2 linked regions of the Cricetulus griseus genome follow. The protein of the gene in region 2 purifies or fractionates together with the protein of the main gene of each other region. This does not show direct contact. Links are inferred from orthologs where the notes say so. Each region holds a gene or a part of one and is shown on either strand. Other genes may lie near its edges. The genes, in order: Eif4enif1 and Lsm14a.

Region 1 (3,806 bases), on a different chromosome or scaffold from region 2:
TGTGTTTGTTGGGGGTTTTTCAACATTTTTATTTGTATGTATGTATGTGCTGGTACCCTAGCAGGCCCAAAGTGCCATATTGACAGACAGTTATGATGCCTGATATGAAAGGGTGCTAGAATCTGAACTTAAGGTCCTCTGAGTGAGCAGTATGTGCAATTAGCCACTGAGCCATCTCTCCAAACCATGTTTGGGTGTGGCGGGGGAGCAGGGGCATTACACACTTGCAAATAAGTGGGGTTTGTTTTGTTTTTTCTGTTTAGCTCATATTTTGTGTAAAATTAAAATGTTAGCAACTGGTGTTTTGCTTAGCCTGTCTTCCCATCCTAAAAGAAGTTGACATTACAGATCTACCTGGCCTTGTAAAATAAGACTGAGCTGATTAGACCAGGTTATTTGTCTGTAGAGATCTGTTTCACTAGAGAATTGCTCTAATAACAAAATTATATGAAGGGCAGCAATTAATGTGTACTGAGTAGATCAGTGTACTTTTTAGAATCTTTTTTTAAAGGTAGGGTAGGCTTCCAGGAACGTTTGACAGTCAAGGTTTACATTGGTTGTAGGCTACAGCCAGCCTTTTATAGGCAATTAATTTGATTTCAGAGGCCCAAGTTTATTTCCTTGTATCCACTACAAAAAGCTGCTCAAAAATTCATATATGTGTAACTCTTCAAGAAGAGCCAGTGCCCTCTTCTGGCCTTCCATGATACCTGCACACATGTGCCATATACTAACACACAATTAATTAATTAAGTAGTTGTTTGTTTTTTAAAGACATATTCAGGACTGGGGCCACAGTCTTTTTCCTGCTCTATTGAAGTTCAGGGTACTTAGCAATGACTTCTCTTTTCTAGTTCCCAGAGAAGTGATAGTAAATGCTTTATTATAGGAAGTGTAGTACCAGCACAAGAAGTCTATTGACAGTTGTGTGTGGTTCTTCTGCATGTGTATTGATAGCTAAAGGCACAGAATGAGACTGGAGTGTGTACTTCAGCAGGTGGTTTCTGTCCTGGTTTTGTTTTCAGGCATAGTGGAGTGTAATGGAGGTGTGGCCGAAGAAGATGAAGTGGAAGTTATCCTGGCCCAGGAGCCCTCTGCTGATCAGGAAGTCCCAAGGGATGTTGTCCTACCTGAGCAGTCCCCAGGAGAATTTGACTTTAATGAGTTCTTTAACCTTGACAAGGTGCCGTGCTTGGCTTCGGTGAGTATAACAGCACATTTTCAAATATAGATGATGGCTTGATGGATAAAACCCTTGCTGTACAAGTTTGAGGACTGAATGAAATTTAGATTTTTAGGATCCAGGTAAATGTTGGGGCAATGTGTTGGCCCTCCTGTAATCATAGCACACAGAAAGTGGAGATAGGATTGTTGGAGCAAGAGTGCTAAAAGAACTAACTAGCTGTGTTTGTAAGCTGTGAGTTCAGGTGACAGACCCTGGCTCAATTTATAAAGTAGAGAGTAACTAAGGAAAATGGCAGACATCAACCTCAGACCTCCACTTGCATATGTGCATATGCACCCAAACACATGTGCACCTACACACAGGAGCATACATACATACATACATACATACATACATACATACATACATACATGTGCATATGCACCCAAACACAAGTGCACCTACACACAGGAGCATGCATACATACATGCATGCATGCATGCATGCATGCATGAACGCGCGCGCGCACCACACACACTTGTGCAAAATAAAAATAAACATGCATGGAATCTGGGTACACACCTGTAATCTTAGCACTTGGGATACTGAGACAGAGGAGTTTGAGTCTGAGGTTAGCTAGAGCTTTGTAGTCATTTCAAGGCTAACCTGACTGCATAGTAAAACCTGCCTCGACTTTTTTTTTTTCTTAGTTAAAAAAGTACATAAGAGGGCTGGAGAGATGGCTCAGAGGTTAAGAGCGCTGACTGCTCTTCCAGAGGTCCTGAGTTCAATTCCCAGCAACCACATGGTGGCTCACAACCATCTATCATGAGATCTGGTGCCCTCTTCTGGTGCTCAGGCAAATATGCAAGCAGAACACTGTATATGTAATAAATATAAGTGAAAGAAAGGAAGAAAGAAAGAAAGAAAGAAAGAAAGAAAGAAAGAAAGAAAGAAAGAGAAAGAAAGGGACAGCTAATTATGGTTAGGTTAGATCTAGTATTTTCTCCTTTTTTTTTCCATAGAGGGGTATCTTTTGTTTTGTTTTGAGACAGGGTCTCACTCACTATGTAGCCTTAGCTGAGAGATTGTTATACATTTGCTTTACAAATGCCAAGATTAAAGGTATGTACTACATGTATGTATGTATGTATGTATACGTGTGTGTTATGTATGTATGTATATATATGAGTCAACCTCTTCTAAGGACAATGGAAATATTATGGCTCCCAGCTCCTTCACCAGCTGATAGTTGAGAGGATACAGCAAAGGATGTCCTGATTCAGAAATCAGCTGTGTCCATTTCTTGTGCACATGAGGTTCTCCTGTCAGAGTCCCTACTTCATCATCTGTTAAAAATGACCAAACTGTTAGGGTTCCTGTTGGACTCAAGCACCTTGTTTTTTGAGATGAATATCTCCACAAATGTGTCTAAGAGCAAGTTTGTTTCTACTCTTGAATATAACATTTTGCAGTAGACAAAGTTGGGGGCTGGAGAGATGACTCTGATCAAGAGCACTGTCTACTTTTGTAGAGGATCTGGGTGTGATTGCCAGTATTCACATGGCAGCCACAACTGACTCTTAACTCCAGTTCCAGGATATCTGATACAGTCCTCTGGCCTCTGATAGCACTGCATATATATGGTGCAATGACATCCAAGTAAAACATCCATAGTGTATTAAATAATTTAAAAAAAAAAAAAAAGCCAGGTGGTGGTGGTGGTGGTGCACATCTTTAATCCCAGCACTCATGAAGCAGAGGCAGGCATATCTTTGTGAGTTTGAGGACAGCCTGGTTTACAGAGCGAGTTCCAGGACAGCCGCAGAGAGACATGCAGAAGACTTGTCTTCAAAAAAAAAAAAAAAATACAACATTGGTAACTGAGCAAAACATAGAAATTACTTTTTCCACTGGGTGATGGTGGCACAGACCTTTAATTCTAGCATTAAGGAAGCAGAAGCAGGTGGACTCTGATTTCTAGGCTAGACTGTTTTACAGTGAGTTCAGGATAGCCAGGGCTACACAGAAAAGCCCTGTCTTGAAAAAAGAAAAAACTTTTCTCCACAATTACTTTAATTTCTTTAGAAAGTGACCAGATACTTTGTCCTTTGTGTTTTGACTTTTCCTATTTAGTAAGATTATGTTAGATAGATTGAAAAGCAGATAGATTGAAAAGCTAAGCCATCATTTTTTATTTGTAAACTAAAACTTTTTTGTTTTTGTTTTTCAAGGCAAGGTTTCTCTGTGTAGCTTTGGAGCCTTTAGCCTGGCACTCGCTCTGGAGACCAAGCTGCCCTCGAACTCACAGAGATCCGCCTGCCTCTGCCTCCCGAGAGCTGGGACTAAAGGTGTGTGCTACCAATATCCAGCTAAACTAAAACTTTTTTAATAGATTAAGAATTCTACCTTTAAAATGTTTTTCATATGGGTGAGTGCTACAGTGCATATGAGGAGATCAGAGGCCAGCTTTGTAGATTTCTTCTACTTTACGTGGCTTCAAGTCATCAGGCTTGCACCAAAGTTGATGCTTTTATCTGTTGAGCCATCACTGCCCCTAAAGTTTCTCCTTTTTTTTTTTTTTTTGGTTTTTTTGAGATAGGGTTTCTCTTTGTAACAGTCCTGGCACTCGCTTTGTAGG
Region 2 (4,241 bases):
AGTTTTGTTGATCTTGAACTCCCTAAACACACCAGGCAGGCCTAGAACTGAAATCCACCTGCCACTACCTCTTGAATGCTGGGACAAAGGCCTGTGCCACCACGCCCAGGTCACACCATTGGTCAAGTCTTTAATTTAAATTTCTGAAGAGAACTGTACATCCTGAAGTACAGTGAGTGTGTAAAAAGCAGGCTCTTTAACAGGCAATGTGTTACAGTACTCCACCAGGCAAAGAGGAAGTTTGGGGCACTCCTTCCTTGGCTTTTGAGTTTTTGTCTTTTCTCAGCGAGATCTGGGATGCCTGACCTCCTGCCGCCCCCTCCCTCTGCAATTACGCCTGTACCACCCACACCCAGTTTTTCCCACTGGGACTGAACCCAGGGTTTTATGGACAATAAGCAAGCATTCTATCAACTGAGACACCTGTATTTTCTGCCTTTTAAGATGACCTGCCTGGCCCGGCGTTGATGGCGCACACCTTTCATCCCAGCACTTGGGAGGCAGAGGCAGGCGGATCTCTGTGAGTTTGAGGCCAGCCTGATCTCCAGAGCGAGTGCCAGGACAAATCAGGCTCCAAAGCCACACAGAGAAACCCTGTCTCGAAAAAAAACCAAAAACGAAACAAAACAAAACAAAACAAAGATGACCTGCCTGTATTGCTTAAGCAGGCCCGAAGTTCCTCAGTTCAAGCAGCCTTGGGAATAGCTGGGACTATAATAAGCAAGCGTCACAGCAGCAGGCTTCATACTGCTCCTTAAAAAGCAGACTTTTTAACTTAAGTGATTCAAGGATGCTTTAAAAGCAAATTGCCAAAAGTTACACAAGCATCACTCACCACAAGTCAAAATGTGGAAAATCGCACCCTACTCTTTCATAGCGTACCTTTTTAAAGCATTGGTTTTCGTGGTACTGGGGATGGAATCCAGATCTCCCCACTTTTGAGACATCTGTCAATCGGGTGAACTCCTAATCCCTATCAGGTGTTCAACAACATAAAAAAAAAGTATCTCACCTAGGTCAACTCGTCCCCAAACAAATACTATTAAAAGGGCCTACAAAACAGCTTAAAAAAACAAAGGTCACCAAAGCTTGTTGGGTACTGTGGAGCGACCTCCCTCTCAGCTGACCATCAGACCCGCTCTCACTCCTCTCCTCCTGGCCGTGCAGATCTGCACAGTCCCACAGGTGTGGCGGGGCAAACACTAAACCCTCCTCCCAGAGTGCTCCCTGCAAACCGCTGTAGGGCCACTTCCTCTGAGACCAGAAGCTCAAGTTTATTTTCTTTCTGCCTTCCTGGCAGAGGCCAGCACGTGTGGACGGAAACAAAACCCGCACGCAGACTGTGCGGCGGGCGCTGCGGGCTGTGCGGGGCAGGGGAGGCCCGTCCCCTCCTCTAACACCACAAGTCCCTCCAACCCGTTAACACTCCAGCCCTGAGCTTCCCTGTCCACGGGGGTGAGAGAGAGAGAGACAGAGAGAGACAGAGGGGGGGAGAGAGAGACAGAGACACAGAGAGACAGAGACAGAGAGAGACAGAGAGACACAGAGAGAGACGGACACACAGAGAGAGAGACAGAGAGACACAGAGAGAGAGGGGGGGAGAGAGGGAGACAGAGAGAGACAGAGAGAGGGGAGAGAGGGAGACAGACAGAGACAGAGAGACAGAGAGAGGGGAGAGAGACAGAGAGTCACACACAGAGAGAGACAGAGAGACAGATTCACACAGAGACAGAGAGAGAGGGGGGAGAGAGACAGAGACAGAGGGGGAGAGAGAGACAGGGGGAGACAGAGTGAGGGGGGAGAGAGACACAGAGAGAGAGACAGAGGGGGAGAGAGAGACAGAGAGACAGTGAGAGACACACACAGAGAGAGAAGGGGGAGAGAGAGACAGAAACAGACAGAGACACAGAGAGAGACAGAGACAGAGAGGGGAGAGAGACACAGAGAGACAGAGAGAGGGGAGAGAGGCAGAGAGACACACAGAGAGACAGAGAGACAGAGAGAGGGGAGAGAGAGACAGAGAGAGAGGGGGAGAGAGACACAGAGAGACTGACAGAGAGAGAGACACAGAGGGGAGACAGAGAGACAGAGAGAGACACAGAGAGAGACAGAGAGGGGAGAGAGACAGAGACAGAGAGAGACACACACAGAGACAGAGAGAGAGAGAAAGAGAGAGAGAGAGGCCCGTGGGGGACGGGCGAGCAGGCGGGCGAGCACTGAAACGCGCGCCCCTCACGAGACGTCTGCACAGGATCCGGGTGTAACAGGTAAGCATCGCATCGCGGGGGCAGGAGTCAGCAGCCCATGCGAGCGGCTCGCCCGTCCGCGCGGGCCCCGGCCCTCCGCGATCTCACACTCACTCACACTCACACACGCACCCCCGAAGTTTCGAGCGCGTTCCCCGGGACTTGCACTCGGGGGCGAGCGGACGGCTTCTCGGGCTCGCCCGGCTTTGTTGGGCGGCTCGGAAGACGGGAACGGCCGGATTTCGGTCTTGGAAGACGCGAAGCCGGGGGAGGGGGGGGGTCTCCCGGCCGCTTCCTGGGCCCGGCTCGCCCCCGGCTCGCCCCGGGCGGCGCGCGCTGGTGCCCCGGATGGAGGGCGAGCCGCTCCGGGGAGCCGGGAGAGGGGAGGCCGCGCCCCGGGCCTCGTCGCCCGCCCGCCGCTCGCTGTGTGGCTCGCTGTGTGGGAGCGGCCTCCCCGGAGGACCGCCCCGCCCGGCCGCCCGCCCGCCCGCCCGCCGCCCGCCCCGGCTCGCCCGGCCCGCGCGCACCTTTGGCGAGGGCCACCGTGGAGTTCTCGGTGTCGATGGTGTAGAGGATGCCCTCGTAGCGGATCTCCGCCTTGGAGATGAGGCTGATCTTGCTGCCGATGTAAGGAGTGCCCCCGCTCATGGCGCCCGCCGCTCGCCCGCCCCGGCTCGCCCGCCCCGGCTCGCCCGCTCCGCTCAGGCAGATCCCGCGCTGCGCCCGCCCGCCCGCTCGCCCGTCCGCTCCGTCCGCTCCCGCTCGCTCCGTCCGCGCCTCACAGCAGCCTCCTCACAGCCAACATGGCGGCCGCGCCCGCTCCGCTCCCCTCCCCCAGCCTCCCGCCCTCAGCCCGCGGCGCGGCGGCAGCGCGGCGGCGGCGATGGCGGCGGCGGCGGCGGCGGCGGCGGCGCGGGGCATGCTGGGAGGGCGAGGCCCGGCGCGCGCACGCGCACACGCGCCCTCGCGCGAGACTGGGCGAGCCCCGCCGCGGCCGCTCGCGGGTCCCCGGGGCCGCGCCGGCGTCTCCGCTTCTCGGCTCCTCCGCTCCGAGCGGTCGGGCTGCTCCGAGACACCGGAGGGGTTGGGGTTGGGCTGCTTGTTTTGTTTTTGCGGCACCGGACGCGGAGGGAGGGCGAGCGAGCGGGAGGGCGAGCGCCCTCTCATCCCGCCTGGGGACGCCGGCCGCGGCCTCCGCCATTTCCAGGCGGGCTGCACGCACCGGGTCACGAGCCCCGGGTCTTTGTCGGCGCCCGCTCGCCCGCTCGCCCGCTGCCTCAGGGCCGCCCGCCTGCCGGTCACCGCGGTCAGGCCGCTGTCCACCCCGTGTCTCTCTCACACACACCAACACACCACATACATACACACACATATACACATATACACACACACACCACATACACCACACACACAGACACAGACACACACACACGCCCCAGCACACACACATACACACATATATACACACATACACACACACACACACCACACACATACATCCCAGCACACACACATACACACATATACACACACACATATATACACACATACACACCACACACACAACATACATACACCAACACACACACACCACACACACACACCACACACACATACACATATACACACACACATACACACATATACATACCACACACATACATACACATACACTCACCACACACACATACACATACACACACACACTAACCTAGGTTGACCTCTTTCACCCCCGTCTGTTGTAGCTGTAACACACACGCACACACTGTAAATGTTGGTCTCTCGGTCTAGACGGTCCCCATCCCTGTGGCTCCACAAGAAGCCCCAGAGACTGCGGCCACGATGGCTGCCAACAGCCTCCTAAGACTTCCCTGCTTCTCTAAACTCCCGCCAGGTTTTCTTCCACAGTAGCCACACCCGGGCATCACGTTCAGGTAGCAAGAGATGGCGGCCTCTTGTTCAAGTCAGGTAACACCTCTCCCCTACTCAGTCCTC

The links.
Region 1: the proteins of Lsm14a (region 2) and Eif4enif1 purify together in Homo sapiens (affinity purification with mass spectrometry; 3 studies listed by BioGRID and IntAct, with this or other methods). This does not show direct contact. The link is inferred for Cricetulus griseus from reciprocal best matches to the Homo sapiens genes LSM14A and EIF4ENIF1.

Annotation. Positions count from the first base shown.
Region 1 is NW_023276807.1:101,695,241-101,699,046, reverse strand, and holds part of Eif4enif1 (eukaryotic translation initiation factor 4E transporter), read left to right. Parts: intron 1-1,025; coding exon 1,026-1,201; intron 1,202-3,806. UniProt on the Homo sapiens protein: EIF4E-binding protein that regulates translation and stability of mRNAs in processing bodies (P-bodies). Plays a key role in P-bodies to coordinate the storage of translationally inactive mRNAs in the cytoplasm and prevent their degradation.
Region 2 is NC_048602.1:4,109,005-4,113,245, reverse strand, and holds the start of Lsm14a (protein LSM14 homolog A), read right to left. Parts: upstream 3,068-4,241; 5' UTR 2,895-3,067; coding exon 2,774-2,894; intron 1-2,773. UniProt on the Homo sapiens protein: Essential for formation of P-bodies, cytoplasmic structures that provide storage sites for translationally inactive mRNAs and protect them from degradation. Acts as a repressor of mRNA translation. May play a role in mitotic spindle assembly.